7 linked regions of the Coturnix japonica genome follow. The protein of the gene in region 4 binds, or shares a complex with, the protein of the main gene of each other region. Links are inferred from orthologs where the notes say so. Each region holds a gene or a part of one and is shown on either strand. Other genes may lie near its edges.

Region 1 (2,409 bases), on a different chromosome or scaffold from region 4:
ATAAGAAGTCCCTTCCCAGCTTTCTTTTAGTCCCCCCTCAGGTACTGGAAGGTCGCTATAAGGTCCCCCCAGAGCCTTCTCTTCTCTAGGCTGGATGGCCCCAGCTCTCTCAGTGTGTCCTTGTAGGGGAGGTGCTCCAGCCCTCTGATCATCTTTATGTTGCTCCTCTGGATCTGCTCCAACAGCTCCATGTCCTTGTGTTTGGGGCTCCAGAATGGACACAGCACTCCAGGTGGGGTATGAGAGCAGAGTAAGGGGGAGTCTGCTGGTCATGCTTCTCTTGGTGCAACTGAGGACACTGTTGGTCTTCTGGGCTGCAAGTGCACATTGCCAGCTCACGTTGAATCTTTCATCAATCAACACCCCCAAATCCTTTTCCCCAGGGTTGCTCTCAAGCCATCCTCCGCCCAACCTGTATCTGTAGGAGTAGAGATTAGAAAGAAAGGAGCAGAAATGACATACAGATGCACGCTGCAGCTTTGAAGTGGGAGGCAAAGAGGAGAGAGACTAAGAAGTGTCGTGGAGGGAGTTCCCTTGTAGGTTCGTGAGAAATACATGTTTGGAGAGCTTTGGAATAGATGAGGAGAAATAAATCTGAGAGACGTTGGAGGACGCTGGGGTTGGGCTGCTGGGGCACTGTGAGGCATTCCCACCTCCCAGATACATCTGTTTATGGCACTTGTTTTGTAGTAGGACTGTCTTCTCCCTTGCATTTGCTGCATTGTATTTGCTCTTTGAAAAAGGATAACCGAGGTGTTTCTACCTTGTTCAGACTGAACTTAAATCTGAATTCCTGTGCCTACCTTATTCTTTCTTGCTGTAATATTTTCATGTCTTTTTGCATAGTGTCTGAGAGTGACCGTTTTCATAACCGCTGGTGGTTTTGACTGTTAAGTCAGTTCATGTAGAGCTTTTCACCTTCAAAACACAGTTTGAATCTATACTGTTCTGAATTTACTTTTTCCTTTGATGAGAGATTAAGCCACCTACATAAATAAGCCTGTGGCAGAATAGGCTCTTACAGTGATAGAATGACTCCATCACAAGGTGTTTTTCAGCTGTCCAAAAGCCAGTCATGTTTTTAAGATTTGCTTGAATTTTACACTGTTGTTTGAGCTCCCTTGTTTAGATGGTGGACACACACAACTGATGGCTTGATTATGCTCCTTGTTTCCAGATGTGCTCGCTCCTCAGTATCCTTGGCAGTCAAGTGATATGTCAATGAACATGCTACCTCCTAATCATAGTAATGACTTCATGTTGGAGCCTCCGGGACACAACAAAGAGAATGAAGATGATGTAGAAGTGATGTCAACAGACTCCTCAAGCAGCAGCAGCGACTCAGACTAGGTACAGGAGGGACAGTATCCCTAGTAGACCTTTCCTGTGGTGAAGGTAGGTTGGATGCTGTTATTCAAAGTCCCTTTTATTTATGCTGGCAGCCCCATGCAGGGAGAAGATACAGCAAGCTCAAAGAGTGGCTAATTTCAAACCATGAACTTAAAATTTATATATCTTTTCCCATTAGATGTTCAACTAAAATGACTGGGAGCTTTCTGCTGGATGAGGGATGTCAGATTTCCAGTGCTGATGTAAATGTGTATGTTTGCAAGAGATGCGTGCGTTTGTATATATATTTACTATACATATTAGAGGACAACGTTCCTGGGACAAAAGGTGTAAGGGGAATCCCCTCCTATGTTTGCTAGTAACTTGACTCTTTTGAAGATGGCCTTTTCTATGGCACAGAAACAAGGCATAACATTTGTAATTTTAATACCTTTTTTGTTACTGCTGAAATGCACGTTGTTAATCACATAGTGTGTTCTGAGAACAAAACCATGGCAATAAGGTGTTTAAAAAATGTTTGTAATTACTGTAATATACAATAAACTCACCTTTGATGTAACTTTGCTGCGCTTTGCAAACATAAATCTTTAGGTTTATTGCGTGAATTCATTAGTCAGCACATTTCATCTCAGTGTGCGTTTGATTTCGGATTAAGTTTTAGAAGCTCGTGGTCCTTTTTTCCCTTTGCAAAGTGCAATGTTGTTATTAGAAGCAGCTGAGCAGTCAGCACCTGCAGGTCTGTTCTTTTCAGCTGAGCCTATTGGGTACATACAGCTGCAGAGCCTGAAGCAATGATGTACAGTGCCCAGTCACCAGACCCCACAGATATTTTGGTCAGGTATCCCAAGGTTGTGGATGCTTTGGAACATACTGCAGATTCAGCTCTTTTCAGTTCAGAAGGAGCTCACTTATTCTTTAGTCTCCGTCACCTATATTTTTTTTCAGTTCTTTGAACCTGTTTATTTGTTTGCTTCAGCAATTGCATTTTTACCTTCTTTCATCTTTCCAAAGTCATTTCCATTGGCTTTCTTTGTTCTCTTTTGCTTAGTGACTCATATG
Region 2 (3,241 bases), on a different chromosome or scaffold from region 4:
TGGAAGACATCACTACGTCCCTAACAGCAGCGGCTGGCACTGCCCGGTGGGACCCGCACGGCTCCACTGGGTTCTGTTACTTGGAATGGAGCAGATCTTCAAAAATAAATTAGTTCAATATAAATAATTCACAAACTGCTTTGTGCAAATTTTTTTTTATTTCCACATTTATATCACAATGTGTCCACTTAAAGGACCAAATAGCAAAGTTGCTCCCTTCTGCATCCCAGGAACACAGAAGTCTAGGTACTGTACATTCACTAAGGCTCTTTGTTTTTGCAAATTGCGTTTATGATGGATATCCATAAGGCAAACAATATCTAAAGGAATGGTAACAAGTATATTTCCAGCATACAAACAGGCTTCCTTTTTCCCTCTCACAGTACAGTTACGGACTTGTAGCACCCTCGTTACATTTAGATTCTAGAAAAGGTGATTTTTTTATTTAGTTTTTTGTTTCCTAGTAGTTTTGCAGGAAGGGAAAAGGAGGAAAATATTTGGCTGGTGGCGGCGGGATCAAAAATGTCAGGAAATATCTGGGTTTTTTTTTTGCAGCATTTCTCAGAGACTGGATTTAAACCAAAACCAGACTGAAACATGTGGATGCCCATGGAATGTTGAGCTGAAGCTGGTCTCCCAGCCTGCAGTGCAACACCTGCTGTTTAAAAGCCAATCTCCGTACCACATGACTTTAAAAAAAAACACAATCATGTTCAGAGATGCCATACAAATAAAACTACAGTTTTTGCACATCGTCTCTTGAATACCTCACTGCCAAATAAAAATCCAAATCAAGTCAAATAAATAGATGCATATTTTGTTAAGGTAACTTCCACAATTTTCTCTGTACCTGCCTGTCGTCAGATTCCGGCATTCAGAAAGTGCTGGAAATCATCTTCACTTCTTGGGGACTAACACTTTTTTTATAGCTGGCTCGCTAGAGAGTTTTGAACTCAGTTTTCTCAACCTTCGTATGCCTTCCTTTGCAATTGTTAGTAAACTGGTAGCAGCATTTCACAAAAGGAGAATTTAAAGGGAAGAGCTGTACGTAACCAGCTCCCTCTCACCCTCTGCTCGTTGGGCCTATTTGTCCAGGACAGGAGGCTTTCTCCATCTTTAAGTGGCATAGTGTCTGCCATTCTCGCTAACTGTGAATGTAAAAGCATTTTAGCAAACCTGTTACTCAGTCTAGGCAGACATAAGGCAGGATGTTCAATCTACCATCATCCCCGTGTGGATCTAAAGATATGCACTGTGTCCAATCATACCAGTTACCCTGTGTATCATAACAACCGTTCACGCCTGGCCAGTTATGTTCACGTATTCTGTTGAGATCATCATTCGTGACCTCCCTCGTGACCCCAGGCAAGTCTGTAGGTTTGCTGTTAGGAACCAGAACGTGAGTCTTTCTAGCCTCTTTTCTAGTGCTTTCCTCCTGCTTTAAATACTCAGACATGAAGTAGTGAGCTCCTGGAGTCTGTACTCCTGATGAAGACAGCAAGCTACTCTGTCTGTTTAAATATGACTGAATTATTTCATTTCTGGACAATTCTTTCCAGTTCGTTTGTTCAAAGGGGCTTTGCAGGTTGGGTTTTTGCTCCTGCTTTTCCGTTTCTGTCCTGTGCTGTTCAGTAAGTGCAGGGATTTCTACCTGCAAAGGATCTTTCGGTGTTAAAGGTTTTATCTGTCCTGTCATGGGATCAAAAGTGAGCTTCCTCTCTTTTAATCTCACAGGTTTCACACCCCCTTCTGTCACGTGCCCATCCAAGTTGACTGTGTAGTCTCTAGGTCGGTACCTTTTCTTCTTTTTGCTATCTGAACCTGAAGCAGCATCATCACTGTCCATTTTTGAAGCGTCCTGTGAAAAGCCGATGTGCGACATGAGAGATTCCCCCGGGTGGGAGCTGGTTTTGCAACTGGGAGATGTGTGCTGTGGAAGTGTCCCTGCTGTGTGCCTGTGCTGGCTGTCACAAGGTACCTGCTGCTCCTGCCAGTGCTGGGACACCTCAGATGCTGATTGCTGAGAGAACTCCAGTCTTTTAGCTGGCATTGGAGGCGTTGATGGTTGCATCAAGGATGGTGGCGGTGATGGCACCTGTGCAGTATCTAAGAACTGAGACCTTTGAGATGGACTAGGCATTGAATCCTTTGGTGAGTACGTGGTATGCTGCCGAGCAAAAGTATCGTGCCTAACATTTCGAGGGCTAAACGAGGAGCAGCGCGGACTCTTGGGTTGGTGCGACCCGGTGGTTTCTTCCAATTTATCATGCTGCTGAAGCACTGCAGTCTTTAATAACGAGGAAGTGCTTGAAGGTTTTACGAGTCCTGGAGAACTGGTGTGAGGTTTTACAGCATTTACTGGGATCTTATTGTGTTTATCATTTTCACTAAGTTCTGTCCTGCTGCTTTCAGGCCCTGCATGTAGATTTACATCTACAGGACTAGGAAAACTCTCGGGACTACCTCCAATTCCGTTTGTTGGAGGGGATGAAGAGTTTTGTAATATTTCATGACTAACTTTGGAGACCTTGGTGGGAGGGGGGCCCTGGTGCCCATCCCTGTGTTCACCTTTCCTTTTCCGATTTCCCAATTTCTCTGGTTTTGGAGAATTTAGTTTCTGGATATCGTTCCTGCTTTTCAATTCACTGATAGGTTTTGACCCAGCCACGGCAGGAAGGGGTGCTTCTGGTTTGCAGTTGTGAGCACCACCATTTGCTGATCCGGGTGGATTCTGCAGCCCTCTTGGCACCGCCTCATTTGGGGTTACAGGTTCTATCAACTTTTGCCAATTCCGCAGCAACTTCTTGGCACGTTTGGCAAGTTCCTCATTGGATGTCTTCTTCCTCACCTCATTGATAAGCCTCCCAAGCCTTGTTTCCTACAAAACACAAAACTTGTTTTACCAACAGGCATAATTCAAAACAAAATTCTGACCCCATTTTTAAGTTAAATTCCTGCTTTTTAATGCTTACCCTAAGAAAAGCCTGGTACAAAATGCTACAGATGCAAGAGCTGAATTAATCCATATGTTACAAATATAAATCTCCACTGCACAAACCAAAGCGTGATGTCCTATCTTCTTCCTCCATCTTTGCTCCCTATCTCAAAAGGCCAACAAATGAGCTTTCCTAGGTTGTCCCAACATGGTTCCGTAAGTGGAAGGAAGCAAAGAGATTGTTCCCAAAACATGCCTGAAAGCAAAGAATTGTTCTACAAGTCGATTACTTCAGAAAAGCACCTC
Region 3 (3,500 bases), on a different chromosome or scaffold from region 4:
TCTTTTTAGCTGTTTGTAACTGAGTCATAGACACTTCAAGATGTATTCTTTAAAACAAAGGGTCCTTTAATCATTGGCAAGAACCTTATTTATGGCTGCAAGTGGCATTTAAGAGCAGAGTGACAACTAAAATACTTGGCTTAGTTACAAAACCTAAACAGTACTGAAGACATTAGGAGGATGTCTTCTAGACAGTTTAAAATGGGGAAAGATACAGTGATTTCTTATTTTGAAGTGCTGACATTTCCCATATGTTCTTCAGTGACTATGAGCTTGAAATTGACTTTACTTTGACACTGGAAGTTTGCCCAAGAAAGGTTTAGCAGCAACTCAGCAATATCCTTAGCATTTCACAGATCTTGATGAAGGGCATAAATTTAAAATAAATAAATAAAAAACCACAAGAATAAAAAAAACAACACACAAAAACATTTTAAATGATCTGTCTCAGAGTTTAATAACAGTGTGTTGTGGGATAATGTAGAAGGAATGCAGGAGAAACCTGAGAGCTGATTGCTCCAGTCAAGTTAAGTGCATTGCAGAAAACACATAGTTGAGCTTCAGCTGTGCCAGTTGCCCCGTCTGAGCCACTGCAGGCTCATCCAATTAAAGGCTCAAGCGGCATTTAGGCACAAAAGCCTCAAGTCTGCCTTTTGTGAAAAACCTTCCCAGTTGCCGTCTGTGCCTGGAAGTAACTACATTCCATGGGACCCGAAGGTTTTAATCACGAATTGTGCAAGGCTCCCTGTGCCTGCTCACTGGGGCTCTGGGCTCCGTAACCCAGCACCCGACTTGCTCCTGCTGTGGGTGCAGCTTGGATGACTTAGTCCATGTCAGCACTGTGGCAGCTTCAGGCTGCTCCGTGTGTCCTCAGCAGAGCGAGGCCAGCTCACAGGCAGCACTGGGACTGTTGAGGAACCCACAAAATGTGCTCAGCAGGAGGCAGGTTGCTTGGACAATTCTAAGTGTGTAGTTTCTGTTCTTCTAGGTAGGCTCTAAGAGGTGTTTCTTGTTCCAGCAGCTCCCTCCGTGCTCCTTATTATTCCTTTTAAAGATTACAGAATTTTAGAATACCCTAAGTTGGACAGGTGAGGATCATCGAGCCCAACTCCTGGGTGTAAAGGTTAAGAAACAGTGAGTGTGTGGGGAGAGAACCTCCAGCGGTTTCTGTCAGTGTAGGGTACGGTAACCTTGCCATCTTCTATTGACAAGGCACCATGCACTGTAACATTTCCTTCCAGTCACAACCCTGAGGTGAGTGTTGGCCAGCACACAGAACCTCTGCATTCCTCATGGCCAGCAAAAAGGTGTGAACTCATGTCTTCCCTGGAACGCTCTTATCTGTGCTCAGGGTGGGCCAGCTCATCTCACAGAGGTGGACCTGCCAAAGCCAACTCAGCCCTTCCTTGTGCAGCGTCAGGGCAGCACTGAGGCTGCTTGGCCTGGGAGATGCCGGGCTTGGTGTGGCTGCCTGGGCAGGTGTGGTGCTGCAGCACGCGGCTGTAGCTGAGGGGAGAAGAGGAAAAGCTGGGCGAGCTCCTGAGGCTGCCGCGTGCTGCCACGTGAGGGTTCAGAGCCTGGTAATCGGCTCAGAAGGAGTGTGCAGGCCGCAGGACAAGCAGCGCTTTGTGGAGCTGCTGGTGGGGACGGATGGGGATGAGTCAGGGCCCAGGGCAGGAAGGTCGGCACTGAGGCAAAGTGCAGGTCAGGCCTGATGAGTGAAGTAGGAATGTGTGCAGAGATCACCTTAACTGGCATCTATACTATAGCTCCTTGTGGGTGTTCTGAAAGGCAGGAGTGCAGCCCTGGGTCTGTGAGCAAGGAGTAGCCTGATGCTCCTTATGTTGGGCTTCCTTTCCATTTCTTTCTCCCGGCTGAGCATTTGTTCGCTTGCTGATTGAGTTCTACAGTACAACTTTGCTGTCACAGGAGAAATGAAGGAGCCTCAAGAGCTCAGGCTGTGTTCTGCCTCGTTCAGCAGTTGGGGTTTGTACCTCCCAGAAGGCAGATATCCCTTGTCCTACCAAAGTCACAGTGCAGAGCAGCGCTGTCACACAGATGTGACCCCCAAACCAATGAGCAGTTCAAGTATCATGAATGATCTTGCTGGGATCAGAGTGGCAATGCAGTAACGATAGTTTGATGTGTAGAGAGTACTAATTAAAGTGCCATTTATGGGATTATTACAGTAATGCTGATGAGTGAAGTCATGGGAACACACAGAATTTTTGAGTATCTCACAACCAAAGGGAAAGCTTTGAAGTGACCAATTTCTACTACAAAAACAATCGTAGACAGTCAAGTGTTTGTTTATGTGGAGAACTTCGGGGCTACTGGAACTGAACGTACCGGAGTTTGGTTTCAGATTGTTTTGACGTGAGCACGTACTTCAGTTCCACGGGTAATTTGCTGCGTCGGGAGAAGGCAGCAAACCTCTCAAGGGCTGAATTCTTCAGGTTACATCTTTATCCCTCCACAGATCCTCAGAATTTGCACAAGATACACACCAGAACAAGACACCATGACATTTTCAGATGGCCTTACCCTGAACCGAACTCAGATGCACAATGCTGGATTTGGCCCCCTGACCGACCTCGTGTTCACCTTTGCCAACCAGCTCCTGCCTTTGGAAATGGATGACACAGAAACCGGTCTCCTTAGTGCCATCTGCTTGATCTGTGGAGGTACCGTACGGCGGGGAGTCAGATGCCTTTAAAACAACAGACGCATTAAGATCTTCATTTATGCTTTACTTGTTTTGCTTTCCTGTACTAAAATGTGTATATATAGAGAGAATATGTATATGTAGTGTTAGTATGTATTATATACATGTCACCTAAACCAGCTGCACTAAAGGTTTGTTTTCCACTGATGGTGGTTATTGTTTTCATTATTGGTGGGGTTTTAAATAAAATCAGGCCCATCTTATTGACTGCCTCGTGAGGGACTACTGCAGGATATATCCCACTGCTTCTTCCTGAGCAGTGTTTGGGTACCTGCATAACTGACCTGCATTAGGGCAAGAGGCTGGTTGTGCAGCTTTTACTCATAAATACAATTGCATGCATGTGCATAGGGTTACATTCGTACAGAAGTCTCTGGGGATAATTAAGAAAATGCAGGCTGTGCTTCCAAGTTAGCAGAATAGCACTGGTAATGTGAAGGGGGTTCGGGGGGTAGGAGGGGGAGGAGCTGATTCCACCTCAAAAGGGGCACTGCCAGTAAAATCAGGTAAAGCTGTATTTCTGCAACACAAAAAGAAAGTCTAATATTGTTTCCATAAGACTCTTTCGCTTCTCTCAATTTAATCACCCAGTCTCTGTTCCGCTGTGCAGATTCTGGGCTAGCATTAGAAACCCTGTGTTCAGATGGGCCATTCTGTGCAAATGCAAACTCAAAACCATTTTCTTTTTTATTTTTTCTTTTTATTTTTTGCATAATTATGCATTGTGGTGCTTAAAGCGTTATTAGAGAATGACTGTTTTGAAAACAAAAGTCAT
Region 4 (4,275 bases):
CAAAATCAGAATGATGCAACAGCTCTTGTTGCTCACCTCAGATGTTGCACCAATTCTGGACAGCTCTGAAAAGGAAAGAACACACAGCAAAATCAACATCAAATGCTTCAGTGTAAGTCTTTGTGCAGCACAGCAGCTGTAAAATATCAGGACAGTGAAGTCTGTGAGCATCAGTTTTGATGAGAAGCAACAAAACACTCACAAATACAAGATTAATTTCCCTATTCTTCCCCCAGAAATGAAACTTTCAGAAGCAGCAGAACAAGCAGATATAACATTAGGTTTGGGGGAATGTTCAGTACAATCCATTTTCTCTGCACAAGAAAAAGGGAAGCAAAACTGCAGTTCCAAAAACAAAGGTATTTTTCTTGTATTTCTTAGCAATACGTACCACAGGATTCTCTCCATGGTGAGCCACCTTGACATCACATAGCAGCCCTGTAGGATCTAACTGGACTTCCACATAGAACATGTCTGAAGTGATGTAACATTCGGTGCCATTTGCACTGAGGTGTGATCCAAGGCTTAAATACAAAACAAAGCAAAAATTACTAAGAGATACACACAAGAAACAGTCAAACCAGCAGCAAAATTATGATGTATACAGATAAGTAGGAGATACAAAACTGCTGTGAAACAAAGGAGAAGATGTACCCATTTTGTCTGGCTATGGACTCCAGGCGATCTGTCATGGCAGGCAGAGAAGACACTAGACAAAGAAAGCAAAAATAAGCCTTAGTGATACGACTGAACATCTTTCCAGTAATGATGTATCAGCATTAAAAGCAATCCCAACTACTTACTCACACCCACTCCATACTCAAAAAACAAGAATCGTTTTGCATAGAGAAAAACAAACATTCTCAGTGTGGATTTTCATCCACAAGTGGAATCCATGTATGGGCAATAAGAATAAAAGCAACACAGGCAATTTTGGCTGATAATGACTCACAAGAAATAAGCATGCTTCTATAAGCACCACGAGCACACTGAGCTTTGCAAGCAATAACCTCGCAGGTTCCTCTAATACAGAGTATTTCCATAGTATATCACTGTTAAGCATTTCCTGAGTGCAGGCACAGCACGTACCAACCTTTTAATGCTTTTTGCAAGGTCTCCAAACAGCTCACCAGATGTTGGTGCCCCCCAGAGTTCATCACAAGTCGTTTTTCCTACGTCAGAAAGAAGAAAAACAGTCGTTTTAAAGTTTCACTCCATGAGAGGAAAATTACTGCAATTTTCATTCAGTCGAGTGAGGTTTATTCAGGTAATTAAAGGCAGATTGGATTTCATCCCCAAATTACACCCTCATTGCGATTCCTGTACCAGAATCATATCCATATTTGCAGTGGGTAAAACAGGCAGGTCTGGAATTGATTATTAAGCTTGCTCTTGTGAAAGATCAGACTGCAACAACTTCTTAAATAGCATAAGCTACGAGTTATATGAGAGGAGCAAGAGAAACAAAGAGAGATTAACTTTAACACCACAACACATACAGCAGCTTTTGATGATGCTCTTCCCTGCCTCCCACTCCTTTCTACCCTCACCAAGGTATTTCAAAGCTGCATCTGACTGAGATAACACTGAGTGTTGAGCATCACTGTAAAGGAAACCCCAGCACTTCTCACCATGACTTGACGGACCAGCTTCATGGTTTCAGTCCAAGGTCTGTTTTGGTTGTACTTTGCATGAAGTCTTTCTAAGAGAGCACTCATCTTATTCAGCTTCTCTGCCTCTGTCAGACAAAGCGGAATGAAAACATAGAAACAAAAGAGAACGTGAGCTGATTGCACAGCCCTTCCAAGCCGGGACACACTCAGCCTTTATAAATGTGTGCTGAATCCAATCTATACATTGTGGGGCTCTAAAACTCATTGTAGCACTTTATTAAGTTACATTGTTATGGAAGGCATCTCCCTGATACCAGGTATTTCTGGCTCCAACACAAGTCTATGGCAACATAACTGCCATAGAACATGACCCTACAAGGCCTATAGAATCAGAAGGGTTTATAAACTGATACACACAGATGTCATGGACTTAATGCCAACCCCATCAAATCAAAGCAGAACAAACAACCGAACGGTTCGCTACCACAGGAGCCCATCAGCCTTTATTTCCATCCACCACAGCCCCGCTCTGGAGCTGCTTAATGCCCAGCTTTGAGACCCATTGAGACCCATGGGGACCCCATTGAAGCCCATTCAGACCCATAGAAACCCACTGGGACCCATAGGGATCCATAGAGACCCAAAGTGGGGAGGGGACCCGACGACCCACACATGGTGAGTATGGACCCATAGGGACACATAGAGACCCCATAGAGACCCATAGGGACCCATAGAGATCCCATAGAGACCCATAGGGACCCATAGAGACCCATAGGGACCCATAGAGACCCCATAGGGACCCATAGGGACCCATAGGGACCCATAGAGACCCCATAGAGACCCACTGGGACCCCACGGCCGGGCTCCGCCGTTCCCTGCAGGCCCAACCGCCGTCCCTCGAGCTGTGGAACCCCCCCCATCCCGAGGAGGCCGGGCCTTCCCTCCGCCTCCACACAGCGCAGCCCCGCTAGGCCGCACTCACCCTCAGCGCCTCCCGGCACCGCCTTCATGCCTCAGGGAGGGGAGGGGCGGCCCGCGGCGGAGCCACAGGGCCGGTATCACGTCGATAAACGGGAAGGGATGGGGATAAACCGCGGCCGGGCCGCTCCGCTCCGGCCTCACACGGCGGCGCCCGCCGCCATCCCTCCGGCCGCGGCTCCCGCTTCTCGCGAGAACTTCTGAGTCTCGCGAGAGGTAGGGAGTCATGGTGAGAAGGGGGAGTGATTAGGGGGCGGGGCGTTGCGCTCAAGCCCCGCCCCCTGGATGCTGATTGGTGCTGAGCGGGCGGAAGGGGCGGGGCTTCGTGCGCTCCCCGGGACGGAGTAAAGTTCGTTCTCAGACCTCGCGAGAAGACGGTGCGCGCGCGCGCACTCCCTTCCGCCTTCCCAATTCTCAGCGCTTGAAATCTCGCGGGGGGAGGGCTCAGGCCGAGTCTCGCGAGAAGCAGCAGTTATCTCGCGAGACTTGGCGGGTGCCCCCCTTGGGCCGAGGAGCCGTTTCGCTTTGGGAAGTGAGCGGGGGGCGCTGGGCCGGGCCGGGGCGGCGGGGACCGAACGGGGCCGCACGGTGGGAACCCGGTACTGAGGGTTGGGACAGGGCGGGAGGGAACCGGACACAACGGGACCGGGAGGGATCGTGGGCCCAGCTCCCGCCTTCCCGGGGCTCCCCCCGCGGCGGCGCTGCCCTCCGGGCCTGGGCCCCTCGGATGAGGCGCTGAGGCCCGGTGTCCTTCCCCGCCGCTCCCGGTTCCGTTCCTTTCCCATTCTCCCTCTCCCCGTTGTTCCCTTCCTCCTCGCTCTCTCCGTCCCGCTCCCCATGCAGCAGGAGGTGCCGGGGGGCGGTGAATGGTTCGAATAGAGGGAGGCTGAGGGAGTTGGAAAGTCGAGGAGGATTTGGAGGAGCGCCCCCGCCTCCCCCTGTCCCAGCACAGTGGAGGAGGAGGAATGCCAAACCAAGAGAGACATGGGGGGAAGAAGGATGGGGGCGGCGGGGGGACCTCGCTGCACTCATCGGGCAGCTCCAATAGCAAGGAGAGGCACCGGGTGGCTTCAAGGCATAAGAGGCATAAATCCCGGCACTCCAAGGAGTCACCGTTGGCCGCCCAAGAGACGGCGGCGCCTCTGGGAGCTGTGATCAAACCGTTGGTGGAATACGATGATATCAGTTCGGATTCGGATACGTTCTCGGATGATTTGGCCCTTAAGTTGGACAGGAGGGAGAATGAGGAGAGGAAAGCGGATAGGAGCGAAAGGACGCAGAAACATCGACACCACCAGCACAAACGTATCCGTGAGCTGATGAAGAGCAAACAGGCAGAGAAAGAGAGGAAGTTGGAAAAGAGCCTGGAGGCCTCCAGCAGGTCCGGGTCTACCAAGGACAGGGTATCGGGGTCCTCTAAGAGACTGCTTGAAAGCGAGGAGCACCCGAAGGCCCCGTCCTCAAAGAGCAGCAACAAGGAATCCCGCTCAGCCAAAGCGCACAAGGAAAAGTCCAGGAAGGATCGGGAGCTCAAGTCCAGCCACAAAGAGCGAAGTAAAAGCCATCGGAAAAGGGATGCTCCCAAAAGTTATAAAACCATTGACAGTCCGAAACGGAAATCTAGAAGTCCCCATAGAAAATGGTTGGACAGCCCAAAATTGGATGACAGCCCTTCTGGAGCTTC
Region 5 (3,500 bases), on a different chromosome or scaffold from region 4:
ACAGAGCCGGTAGATACAGAATCTTTGGAAGAAAAACATTTCCTTAGTTTTGTACAAAACAAACAATTAATTCCCCTGCCAAAATAGCGTTTCTCACATACCTGGCATAATAATGAAGGACCCCTGCGGTTCCATTGCTACCAAACAAGCACTGAGAATGCTGGGAGAGTCTGCAGCAGAGATACCACACATTCTGCACATGTCTTTCAGCCTCTTACTGAGGGACTGAAGGTTTCGGCGACTCAACAAACAACTCCAGTCTGAGGATACAAAGGACATAGATTTGTCTAGAAGAACAACACTTGCTGAAGAATGCTTATTCTATGTATGACATAGTATTTGTGAGTTAACTTAGAGCTCCTTCATATGCTTCACCCAGGTTTTCTTCCAGAAAGAGATTGACACTATACTATTTAAAAAGAAAGCTTCAAATCGACTTTTAGACACTGAAGCACAAACGTTACCTTTTAATTCCCCATGTCCTATTCTTCCTAAGCGGCCTATTACGACTCTCCAAGGCAAAGAGCTCATCTGCACGAGTCCCAGGCACCATTCCCAGAGTTTCTGAAGCCCCAGCCTGCGGGCAGAGCCCTTTTTCCTGCGAGCTCTAGAATTAAAACAGAAGAGAAAACAAAACTGGAATCCATCTGTGACAAACTTCTATTGCCACCTTTGGAACTTGTTTGTACCAACCTGAATGTTCACAGGACACAAGGATTGGTTTGCTTTTCATTCATCACATTGTAACACTAACATCAAAAGCCAGAGGAAGGGGTGGAAGGGGAAATCACACAAACCAAAGCACTCTCCAATCACAGGAGGCCATAGGACATTCCTTCTAGAAATTTAACTCAATATCCACATCATATTGAAATTATCCACTTGGTTTAAATTTGCAGCACAGTGGGTCAACAAAAGCAAGAGATATTCTCACATCATCTTGATAAAAATGATTCTTTGAAAGAAAGAATATATACATGTTAAAAATCAAAAGGAGTTTGGTACTTACCTGTTCGGTACATCTATATTAATTATGCACGTCTCTAACTGTTCTCCATAGAGATCTGTACAGGATGCAAGAAGCCATCTTTGATCATGAGACAAACAGTAGCCGACAAAAAGCACGTTATATTTCTGACCAGCTTCTCCAAAGGTTTCTCCAAGCTCTGTTTGCTTGTCCTTGACAGGAGCCAATATAAAAGGAGGGGTGTACAGTCGAATACACTCAGGTCTCTATAAGGACAACAGAACAGAAAATGAAGTTTCAAGTAGAGATTACTATTAAGAACTCTGTTCAGTTCAAGTAAAAGACACCAATGATTTAATAAAAAGGGACATTTCTCTCATCTGCACATTAACAGAACCACATTAATCATAAGAATACTCACATCAGGGCTCTTAAGAGCTGTTTCCATGGCTAAGCCGGGGCCAAAGCCAGTTAATGTTTTCACATTGGTGGAAGATGGAAGAGGTCTCCGACACTGAGTAAACGCTGAAAACGCTAAAGACTTCAAATGCTGAGTATAAATCTGCCGGTCTTCGTGTTTCACAGGCTGCAGAAGGTACTGACACGGAACGATCTACAACAGGTCACACAGGGAAATAAAATTGATTAATTATTACATTTTTTGAGATAGTATTTGGGTACGCTGCTTTCAGGATTTAACTGTACAATCATCTCTAATTCTTTGAGGTCCTGCCACTTCTAAAGCCACACTGCACTTCAGGTCATCATTCTCATTGAAAATTCCCTCAGTGAATAAAAGAAGGGCATAATCACCTCCAAAACACAGCTAAAGCCAAAGACGCTTTGTTAGGCACGTTTCTGTGGCTGTTGGCTCACCTGCACAGAAATTATATTCTTGATGTTCGGAGGAAGAACCTGAACCATCTCTAAAAAGCAGCGCAGAAGTCCAAGTGTCCATAAACTAGATGAGCTGCTGCTCTCATCCTTTTTCTCATACGTAAAAGGATCGATTATGTAAACTACAATGGCAGGTGGGTAGGTGATAGCGTGTGAATCTCCATCTGTAGGAACTCCAACTTTATCACGATCCATAGTGCTGAAAGTGAAATTTTACAAGCAGTTACAAAACGCTGAGTTTGAGACAGACTTATTTTTACTTACATTAGAACTAAGACCAAACTATCAAAGATTAAAGACCTTTAAAGTTAACTGTGGCATAAGAAATTGTGTTTATAATTCAGTTTTGTATGTGAGCTTGCCAGCAGCTCAGCATCACTTGTTTTTTTTCTTTTGCCTTCCTTCTTACAGCAGCTCATCAGCACACAGTTCTGTTGGCTGAATGAGGTTTAACAGTTCCATTACCTTTCAGAAACCTCTGGGTGGGGCTGTGCAGTTGCTGTAGTAGCATCTCCAGACATCCCTGCTGTTTGCAGCACTGGCTGTTGCTGCTGTCCTCCTGTTTGCCCATTTTGGACCGTTGCAGCCTGAGAGGGCAGAGCAGCAGAAGTGGTATTGTTCATACTGCTAAAAGGTGGAAATGAAGAAGGCTTGCTTGTTGGGATCCCACTGCCTATGTTAGCAGAAGAGGATGACGTGGCAGTAGTAGTCAAAGTTGAGTTAGCTGTAGTAGCTGCAGAAGACATGGCACTGTTTGACGTTGCTGTCATAGTACTACTGGTAGAAGCTGCAGGAGCAGACGGAGTGTTGGGATTTCCAGTGCTGGCTGTCACGGGGGGCAGAGCAGAGGCTGGTTGGCTTGAGGGAGGGACCAGATTTGTTTGGGCAAGTAACGAATTGTCCAAAGGCTGAGAAGCAAGATAAGGACCTAAAAACAAGGGGAAAAAAATCCATACATTTTATACTGCAACTGTTTTGAGCAAACTTAAACTGAACCTATAGCAGTTTTAACAAAACAGTGAATAAAGCTTAAGTGTATGTTTTATCTTTCAAAAGAATGCAAGCATTAACATTACAGTTTTTAATAGTCTTATAACAGTTGCAGAAACACTCAAATCTATTTCAAAAGTAGCTTTTGTTTTCCAGTCATTAGAATTTGAGCAAGAAATCACTGCCTCAGAACACAAGACAGCAATGGAAAAACAGTAGCAGTCTCTATCAAGCAATAGCGCTGCCATTCCCTAACAAATACTGATGATAAGCAGCCATTTTAGAACATATGCAAAGATATGGGATTTCTGCCTTTTTTTGTTTCTAGTTTAAAATCAGAAAACTGCAACAAACAGTAGATTCAGTAAGTAAATTCAATGATTTCTCTTGTTCTGCAATGGATTAGGTGGTAACTCCATGAAATAAGAGTAAAATATATATATATTTATTCATACCCAGCTCATATCTGCAAACTTGGGCATACAGTTTGAGTTTGGAAAATGCTTCATTGTTGGCATTATTTGTCTGTGAGAACCATTCTGTGACCAGCTTCTCAGAAAGTTTCTTTGAAGCAGTGGGTCCAACTCTCATGATTCCATCAGGCAAAAATTTACAGATAGGTCGATGCTGGCCAAGTCTGCATGAC
Region 6 (3,974 bases), on a different chromosome or scaffold from region 4:
ACTGTTTTTCGGGTGGGAGATACTCAGTAGTTTCACCAACGTTAACATGAAAAGTGAAGGTAAGCCTGTGGAGAGCAAGTTAGTGGCTTTTAATTACACTTTTTGGGCAGAGTCTAGAAGAGCTTCAGCAGCGATCAGTGACAGTGCCCTGTCTCTGTGGGATGCCTTACCATGTGAGTCGATCGTACTCATTCTCCAGCTTGTAGATAAAACTGACCAATGAGTTCTTCAGGTCAGCCACCTGGCTGATGAGTGCCTCCAGGGTCAGCTCCAGCTGCTTCTCCTCTCTCTGAAAAAAAGAATGAAAGATAGGGGTGAGGACAAAGCTTTGTACCTTTCCAAGGACTGTGGGGATCCATACATCTGCAACCATATTCCACCCTCTCCTATGGAGAGACTCCTCTTCAAGGCAAGGAAACAGAGACCACGTAGATAAAAATCCTACATTTTCACACTTATCTTGTCTCCTTGTAAGAAACATTTAGGAAGAGACTCGTACCTGAGCCAACCCATGGCTAGCTGTCATTTTTAAGATCTAGATAAGTAAAGCCTATACATCACTTGCATCAGGCAAAGTCATCAAAGTTACCTTGCACCACCTCCGTGAGTTATTCATGCTAACCCAGCTGAAAGCAGATTAGCATTCTCAGCACCCTTTGACAGCAGGCACAGTGATGTCTTCACCCAGCACAGCCATTTGCAAAACAAGTATCAGATCAGTGGCCCAAAGACTCCAGTTTCTGCCCTTACCCTCATCTCTCACTTTCTTCCTGTCCAGGTGCTGCATCCAGCTCCTAAAAATTCCTTGTCCCTTACCAGCTGTGGAAGGCGCTGCAGTGTCAGTGACGTAGTTAGACACATGCAGAGATCACCTGCTGCCTTTTGCCTTGGTGCACTGCTTAAATAATCTTCTCCCCTAGCTGAGAGGAGTATGGTGACATACAAAGCAATAGGAGAGGAGACCTGTTGTCACATATAGCACAGAATATCTCCGACTCTTGCGAAAACCCTCTAGAACCTTATCTATTCTTACTCATTCAACAGAATTGCACAAAATGTAATTAAAGCCCCAATCCTAATGGACTGCTAATGTAAGTCAAGGACTGTACAACAATAATCCACGAGGAGGGTGAGACACAGCAATACAGTTAAATAATAGAAAGGGAATGCTGATTGGGAAAGCAGATGGGGTGACTCAGTCTGCTTGCACGCTCACTATTGGGATCCTTGTGCTGTTTAAACAAACTGAAACTAGCATGAGATCATCAAGTATCTTCCACATTTAAGAGAACATGAAATTATTCTACTCACGGTCTGACAAGACTATAAAGGTTTTGTTTTTTTTTCCATAGACTGCTGATAAGACTTCACTACCTTAGAAGAAATGGCAAAATAAATGTGGCTAAAATCCACTTCCAATCCACAGCATGGATTAACAGAGCAAACCACGGGGTTACAACTCACAGCTACAGCACTGCAGCTCTCCGCCATCCTGTGATGGGACTAGTCTGTTCCTGTGCACTTAAGAAACAAGTCTAACGCTGACTGTGCACGTTGTGTTTGAGCAAGATGAACCACTGACAGCACTACGAGTTGGGCTGGGAGCCAGTATCTCACTGCAGAGGTGGCAGGTACACACAACCAAGACAACTGGTGTGGCCCATTGCCAGCGCGTATCCAAGAAGCCCTAAAGATTGTGAATGAAATCACACTACACTGTGTGACAGTGCAGTCTGAGCCTCCTCCTTTTGTGTGCTCTCTCCATGAGAGCTGGAAGTAAGTTTAAGCACCGCAAAGCACACGTGCACCAAGATCAATGATTCAAAGAAATACTCTGCCTCTCACAGACATATACAAGCAGCAATTCAAGGAGTCTGTTAACAATACTGAATTGTCCCAGGGTAATAAAATAGGATTTACGGGAGAGACTGCTGAAGGAACTCCTGATAATGAATGACTGGGAGGTAAAGGTGAAATTCAGAATAAACATAAAGCAATACACACAATGAAACAAAGAGAAATAAACAACCCTGACTTTACACACACACAATGACATTCTCTGAGCTGATAACATTATCACTCACAAACAAGATCTGAGGATTATCCGAGGGTAACCCAGGGAAACATCAGCCTGAGGCTCAAGAAGTCGAGGAAATCAAAGTAATAATGGGATTTATTAGGAAAGCAAGGGATCCTGTCACTGTTACCTGGGAGAGGAGGCCGACCTCCACCCCATTGTAAATATTTGGAGAGTTTAAGGGAGTCATGGGGTCCCTCTGAGCCTCCTTTTATCCAGACTGAACCATCCCAGCTCCCCCAGCTGCTCTCTGTAATGCCTCCACCCCTCACTTTCCCTGTCGCAATCTCTGGACACGCTCAGGTCTCAATGCCCTTCTTGCTTAAGGGGCCCAGAACAGAACGCAGCACTCGAGATGCGGCCTCAACCAATGTCAGCACAGAGGGACGCCCACCACCCCGCTCCTATAGGATACACTGAGCCTCCACGAGCCAAGATACCATAGACCTTCTCGAACAACTGGGCACACTGCTTTACTCCTCCAAAGCCCGGCCCACGGGGCACAGCGGAACCCCATACGGGCCTACTGCTCCCTCTAGCCTAGCCTAGCCTAGCCTAGCCTAGCCCAGCCCAGCCCAGCCCAGCCCAGCCCAGCCCAGCCCAATACAGCCCTGCTCAACCCCATACAGCCCCTCACCTGCATGGCTGCGCGGCCCTGTTGTTATGGCAGCCTTCCACTTCCGAGTCAGGTCAGAGGGCGCGGGGCGGGGCCGCCGGGCAAACATGGCGGCTGCCGAGAGGCCCGAGGCTGAGGTGAGGGGTAACGCGCTGCGGGGCGAGGGGAGGCGGGGTTGTTTGCGGCTTTGAGACCGGGAACTGTGTAGAGAGGTCGGGGGTTGTGGTGGTGCCCGGCCTGGAGTGACGAGGCGCTGTGCTTCTGCTGCAGGTGGAGGAGGCTGGGCACGTCTTCCTGTTGATGAAGAAGGACTATCGCATCTCCCGCAACGTGCGGCTCGCCTGGGTGCTCAGCCGGCTGCACCAGGTCATCTGGGCTGTGCCCGAGCCCGAGCTGGTGAGTGGGGGCCGGGGGTGCTGCAGGGTGGATGGTGGCCCTGCATCTCGGCGTGTCCTTTGGCTTGGAGTAATGTTTCATGCTTGTCGTTCGCTTCTTGTTGTAGTTGAAGTCAGAAAACGAGCTGGATGTGCTCAGCATCCTGCCCAACGGATGGCAGCCGGATGAGCCCGTCCAGCCCCGGCCCTACCTCTTGGTGCCCTCCACGCGCGTTACGTTCCTGGCCCGCCAGTACCGCTTTGTCATTGAGCTCGATCTGAGCCCTTCCACTGGCATCGTGGTGAGTCCAGGAGCTGCCTCTCTGGGGTGTTTTGTGTTAAAGGACCAGGCTTGGTTCCCTCTGCTGAGAACATGTGTGTCCCTGCATTAGTGGTCACTCCTGCAGGGGTCCTGTGTTCCTGAGGGCTGAAGCAGGCACTGCTGCTGGCAACACAGCCTTGCAGTGGATCCTGTTTCCTTGCAGAATGTGTGACCTCTGCTTGCAGGGGTCGTTCTGAGGCAGCTGCTGTTGCAGAAATAGGCTTGTACTTGTCTCTGTGTGGTGGGTGCAATGAGATTGCAGATTCCAGAAGATGTAAAAGCTGTTTTGTTTACCCCATGCAGTGCTGCTGATTTAGGGGCTGTGGCTGAGAGCTTTATGGAGGGAGAGGATCTAGGAGTGTTAGCTGACAGCTGGCTGAACATGGGCCAGCAGTGTGCCCAGGTCTCCAAGAAGGCATCCTGGCTTGTATCAGAACTAGTGTGGTCAGAAGGACTGAGGAGGTGTTCAAAAGCTGTGGAGATGTGAGGTGCAGTTAGTGGGTGTGGTGGGAATGGGTTGATGGTTGGACAAGGTAATCTTAGCTATAATGATTCTATAATTCTCCTCTTCTGTTTCTGTAGGAT
Region 7 (3,500 bases), on a different chromosome or scaffold from region 4:
AGGCGATGAGGAGCTCATTCCAACCTGCAGAGAAAACAACAGAAAGGCCATGGTTCAGAACCGTGCATCTTCACAGTGTGGGAATCAGCCACATCCATTGCCCTGGCAACAGTGCATACAATGGCTGAGATGGCATGGCTTCTGTAGCTCGGTATCTGGAGGAGCAGCACTGCTCCATGGGCATCCCACATGGCCATGACCGTGCCTTGGAAACCAGCTTGAGCTCCCCTCCATCCACAGCAATGTGCCTTTTCTCATTGACTGCAATAAACACAAGGTCCATGCGTGCTGTGTTTACCTACAGCTGCAGCAATGGGTTGTGCCACTCAAAGCATTACCAGGGAATAAAGTTCACTGTTCCCTAAGTGGCCACAGGACGGTTCCGCCCCAATCAAGGGACCATTTATTTGGTTACACGCTGGGTGAGGTCTGGCACTTGCAGAGGGATTGCAACACTGAGAACAGAGAGACTGCAGGAAGCTGGAGGGGACCTGGAGAGATGGTGACTCATGGAAAGGTGCTGTGGGCTCAGCCCTATAAAAGGAACCAGAACCAGGCTCTCCCCCTCTCAGTCCTATAAAACATTACTGCTGTCTCAGCCGTAGCAGGTTTGGCACAAAGGAAAACCAGGCAAAACAAGCTGAAAAAAAGTTGGGTTTCCTCCTCCAAAAAGCCCAAAGAGGGAAGGTTTTAAATGATTCAGGACTGCAGAGGAAGGCTGCAGCCACCACCCAGCACTGCTCCTCCATGCGTGCTCCACTTAGTTTTGCCTCAGAGGATGCATGAGTGCACCTGATGGAGGCTCTTAGCTATATTTTAATACTTAAATATTTCATGGGCAGCTGTGCTCTCGCCACTCAATAATAGATAAAGCCACAGCTTAAAGGACTTGGGGGAGGTTATCTGAGGCCCCTGCAGAGATGCTGGGAGTGGGGAACCTGTGGGAGCTCCTCATGCTTATGAACCCATGACAAAACTCCATGATGGTGTCTGCAGCCCCCACCCTCCCTTCACCAACACTGAGACAGCATCAGTTCAACCTTCAATCTCTTGTTCAACCTTCCTCAGCCCCCTTTAGACAAACAATTGCAGCAATTACAGGATCACAAAATGGTTTGAGTTGGATGGGTCCCTTTAAGGCCATCAGGTCCCACTCCCTGCAGTGATTAAGGACACCCACAGCTCCGCAGGGTGTTCAGAGCCCCTCCAGTCTGACCTTGGCTGTCTGCAGAGATACGACCTGTGCCAATGTCTCACCACCCTTAGGAACTATTAGGATTCATGCACTTGGGATACAACTCTAAGTGCATCTGGAGGAAAATATGGGAACATTAAAACTACTGAGGTCTTTTCCTTTCCAATCCCAATTTCATCCTCCTTCCCACTGAGTTTGTCATTTGCTGGAAGGGGTTTCCCACGTCCCACCAACAACTTGCCTGCCCCTTTGTTTCAGGGAACAAAACTGCTGCGTTGACTCAAAGCCTTTGTACTCACTTCTCTGATGATGAGAGCTATGTGAAGAGCTTCGTGCCTACAAAGCACCCTCATCGAGTCTGCTTGTAATTTCCTGCTCCCCCCCCCCCCCCATTAGCCCTTGTGAAGGACCTGCCAGCAGCTGAGGCTTGCGTTTACTTGCTGGAAGAAGACCTCCTTCCCAGCTGACAGCCTGTAACCTCCCAGACCCCCTGCAGCATAAGGAAATTTAAAATAAACCCAAAGAACTTCATTTTCATCTTGGTGGGTGGGAGTGGGAAGGCGATATATATTTTTCTCCCCCGTCTGCTTTTAATTATGATCAAACATTGCAGTTCTATGACATTTCAGACAGACTCAAACCCCCTTGTCTTTCCAGTCCCAGCTCAGGAGGATGCTGGCACATCATGCCCTTGATTTCCTGAGCATCTCGTTCATCACACACAAGGCCGGGCCATTTTTCAGCCCATTGGCAGCTGGTGCAACGTTCTGGATCCCATTCAGCAATACATCCCTTGGGGCTTTGTCAATCATAGTTAGCAGTGGAATGATCTGAAGCTATTCCTCAGATGCAGCTAAAGCCTCTCCAGTTGCCAGCACCCAAATCCCAGCGTGACCATTGAGGGATGCAGTGCATCGGGGCTCACCGGCCCTGAGCAGGATGACCTGGTCGTCCAATGGCAGCGCAGAGAACCTGGGGATCCTCTTGGCCCACTCCACCAAGGTGAAGAGCTGCTTGTCGGCCGCCTGGCAAATGTTCGTCACCGGGTCATTAGGCTGCAAAGAGGAGATGGAAAGGTTTAGAGAAAGCAAGGAGAAAGATGGGAGGAGTAGGAGAAGGAGGGAAGGGGGTGCTGCCTGCTTGCTCCCCAAGTTTGGGAGCTCTGTGCTCAATTTAAGTGGGTATCATCTGCAGGGACCCTGCAGTGTGCACAGCCCAAGTGTAAGCACCTCCTCATTGCACCCCACAGCATGGAGCGGGCATCACAGTAAGGAGAAAAACCCTCTCCTTTGAAATATTACCCAGTAACACAAACCATCTGCTCTCAAGGAGGACAGTCAGCCTAAACACACCAAATCCCTGTTTAAAGGAACTGCTAACAGCTCAAGTGGACTTGTGATTAGGAATGGGAAGAGACCGTCTAACCCCAGCAAAGACAGACCCTGCCAGCACAAGTGTGTATATATGGTTTACCTCTCCGGACAAGGATGTATGAGCCCCTCCACATATCCCGCTGTAATCCCCACTGATACCTAGCAGCTCTGATTGTACAATTATTTTTCTTTATGTCCTTAAAAGAACAGTTTCAAACTCAGAGGAGGAGTGTTTGTTGCACCTCTGCACTGCATGAGGCTGGGGCATGGGTTCTGTGCAGGCAAGGCAGGAGTTGCCCCAGGCACATGTCTGTGTCCCATGGTGTGCTCCCTCCTTCTCACCTTCTTTCTGCCACCCACATTGCTGACTTCTCACTTTTCCACTCATATTCCCTCAATATTGTGGACTTTGGGGTACCTGCCCAGTACACTGGGGGACTCTCTGCATGCAATACATGCCCTTTACCCAGCTGCATGGAGGGAGCAGGAGGTGAGCACACCATAAGGGATGCATTGGCCCCAGGGGATTGAAAGGGAAAAGGTCAGAGACTAAAACAGTGTGGAAAGAACCCTTCCCTTACTGACTGCAGAGCTGACCGTGTGCTCACAAACCAAAGGGAGATGAGAAATGCCACTCTGAGAAAAGGAAAAAGCCCTACAATTCTGCCCAGAGCCATTCCTATGTTCCCCTGCCTGGGTGGCTCTGCTGTTTCCTGGCAGCAAACACCACCTCTGTGTCTCAGTGGCCAACATCTCTCATCTCCAGGCTTAAAATAACCAGCATCTGGCAGGAGCAGGAACACCCGCCTTCAAAGTATTCTCACCTGTTGCTCACAGAGATGGATGGGGACGGGCTGGCACTCAGCACCATGGGTCGAGGGGAGCGTTATGGGGATGGTCCCCCAGCTTCACTTGCTTATCAAGAGAGCTCA

What was found.
Region 1: MED1 (region 4) and MED4 share a complex: the UniProt entries of both Homo sapiens proteins name them as parts of the mediator complex. The link is inferred for Coturnix japonica from reciprocal best matches to the Homo sapiens genes MED1 and MED4.
Region 2: MED1 (region 4) and MED26 share a complex: the UniProt entries of both Homo sapiens proteins name them as parts of the mediator complex. The link is inferred for Coturnix japonica from reciprocal best matches to the Homo sapiens genes MED1 and MED26.
Region 3: the proteins of MED1 (region 4) and RARB are in contact, whole or in part, in a crystal structure (PDB 1XDK), measured with the Mus musculus proteins. The link is inferred for Coturnix japonica from reciprocal best matches to the Homo sapiens genes MED1 and RARB. Residues at the interface, in NP_001073587.1 of Mus musculus: His642, Pro643, Met644, Leu645, Met646, Leu648, Leu649, Lys650, Asp651; in NP_001276689.1 of Mus musculus: Ile264, Val267, Lys271, Phe276, Ile281, Gln284, Ile285, Leu288, Lys289, Pro435, Leu436, Glu439, Met440.
Region 5: MED1 (region 4) and MED13 share a complex: the UniProt entries of both Homo sapiens proteins name them as parts of the mediator complex. The link is inferred for Coturnix japonica from reciprocal best matches to the Homo sapiens genes MED1 and MED13.
Region 6: MED1 (region 4) and MED8 share a complex: the UniProt entries of both Homo sapiens proteins name them as parts of the mediator complex. The link is inferred for Coturnix japonica from reciprocal best matches to the Homo sapiens genes MED1 and MED8.
Region 7: the proteins of MED1 (region 4) and RXRA are in contact, whole or in part, in a crystal structure (PDB 1XDK), measured with the Mus musculus proteins. The link is inferred for Coturnix japonica from reciprocal best matches to the Homo sapiens genes MED1 and RXRA. Residues at the interface, in NP_001073587.1 of Mus musculus: Asn641, His642, Pro643, Met644, Leu645, Met646, Leu648, Leu649, Lys650, Asp651; in NP_035435.1 of Mus musculus: Phe282, Val285, Lys289, Phe294, Leu299, Gln302, Val303, Leu306, Arg307, Thr454, Phe455, Glu458, Met459, Glu461, Ala462, Pro463.

The regions. Positions count from the first base shown.
Region 1 is NC_029516.1:150,965,039-150,967,447, reverse strand, and holds the end of MED4 (mediator of RNA polymerase II transcription subunit 4), read left to right. Parts: intron 1-1,177; coding exon 1,178-1,350; 3' UTR 1,351-1,395; exon of another isoform or gene 1,396-1,528; 3' UTR 1,529-1,909; downstream 1,910-2,409. UniProt on the Homo sapiens protein: Component of the Mediator complex, a coactivator involved in the regulated transcription of nearly all RNA polymerase II-dependent genes.
Region 2 is NC_029543.1:3,359,649-3,362,889, reverse strand, and holds the end of MED26 (mediator of RNA polymerase II transcription subunit 26), read right to left. Parts: intron 2,879-3,241; coding exon 1,184-2,878; 3' UTR 501-1,183; downstream 1-500. UniProt on the Homo sapiens protein: Component of the Mediator complex, a coactivator involved in the regulated transcription of nearly all RNA polymerase II-dependent genes.
Region 3 is NC_029517.1:34,755,308-34,758,807, forward strand, and holds part of RARB (retinoic acid receptor beta), read left to right. Parts: intron 1-2,479; coding exon 2,480-2,684; intron 2,685-3,500. UniProt on the Homo sapiens protein: Receptor for retinoic acid. Retinoic acid receptors bind as heterodimers to their target response elements in response to their ligands, all-trans or 9-cis retinoic acid, and regulate gene expression in various biological processes.
Region 4 is NC_029542.1:3,842,918-3,847,192, forward strand, and holds the start of MED1 (mediator of RNA polymerase II transcription subunit 1), read right to left. Parts: upstream 2,801-4,275; 5' UTR 2,624-2,800; coding exon 2,596-2,623; intron 1,739-2,595; coding exon 1,632-1,738; intron 1,173-1,631; coding exon 1,094-1,172; intron 710-1,093; coding exon 655-709; intron 525-654; coding exon 392-524; intron 66-391; coding exon 37-65; intron 1-36. Other genes in the region: CDK12 (cyclin-dependent kinase 12), read left to right, coding at 3,557-4,275. UniProt on the Homo sapiens protein: Component of the Mediator complex, a coactivator involved in the regulated transcription of nearly all RNA polymerase II-dependent genes.
Region 5 is NC_029534.1:6,211,635-6,215,134, reverse strand, and holds part of MED13 (mediator of RNA polymerase II transcription subunit 13), read right to left. Parts: intron 3,500-3,500; coding exon 3,310-3,499; intron 2,793-3,309; coding exon 2,330-2,792; intron 2,064-2,329; coding exon 1,844-2,063; intron 1,581-1,843; coding exon 1,389-1,580; intron 1,234-1,388; coding exon 1,010-1,233; intron 608-1,009; coding exon 465-607; intron 261-464; coding exon 102-260; intron 23-101; coding exon 1-22. UniProt on the Homo sapiens protein: Component of the Mediator complex, a coactivator involved in the regulated transcription of nearly all RNA polymerase II-dependent genes.
Region 6 is NC_029523.1:17,388,685-17,392,658, forward strand, and holds the start of MED8 (mediator of RNA polymerase II transcription subunit 8), read right to left. Parts: upstream 2,801-3,974; 5' UTR 2,721-2,800; coding exon 2,715-2,720; intron 775-2,714; exon of another isoform or gene 757-774; coding exon of another isoform or gene 751-756; intron 290-750; coding exon 171-289; intron 1-170. Other genes in the region: KICSTOR complex protein SZT2, read left to right, coding at 2,801-2,830, 2,964-3,089, 3,196-3,369, 3,972-3,974. UniProt on the Homo sapiens protein: Component of the Mediator complex, a coactivator involved in the regulated transcription of nearly all RNA polymerase II-dependent genes.
Region 7 is NC_029532.1:5,859,644-5,863,143, reverse strand, and holds part of RXRA (retinoic acid receptor RXR-alpha), read right to left. Parts: intron 2,251-3,500; coding exon 2,121-2,250; intron 25-2,120; coding exon 1-24. UniProt on the Homo sapiens protein: Receptor for retinoic acid that acts as a transcription factor.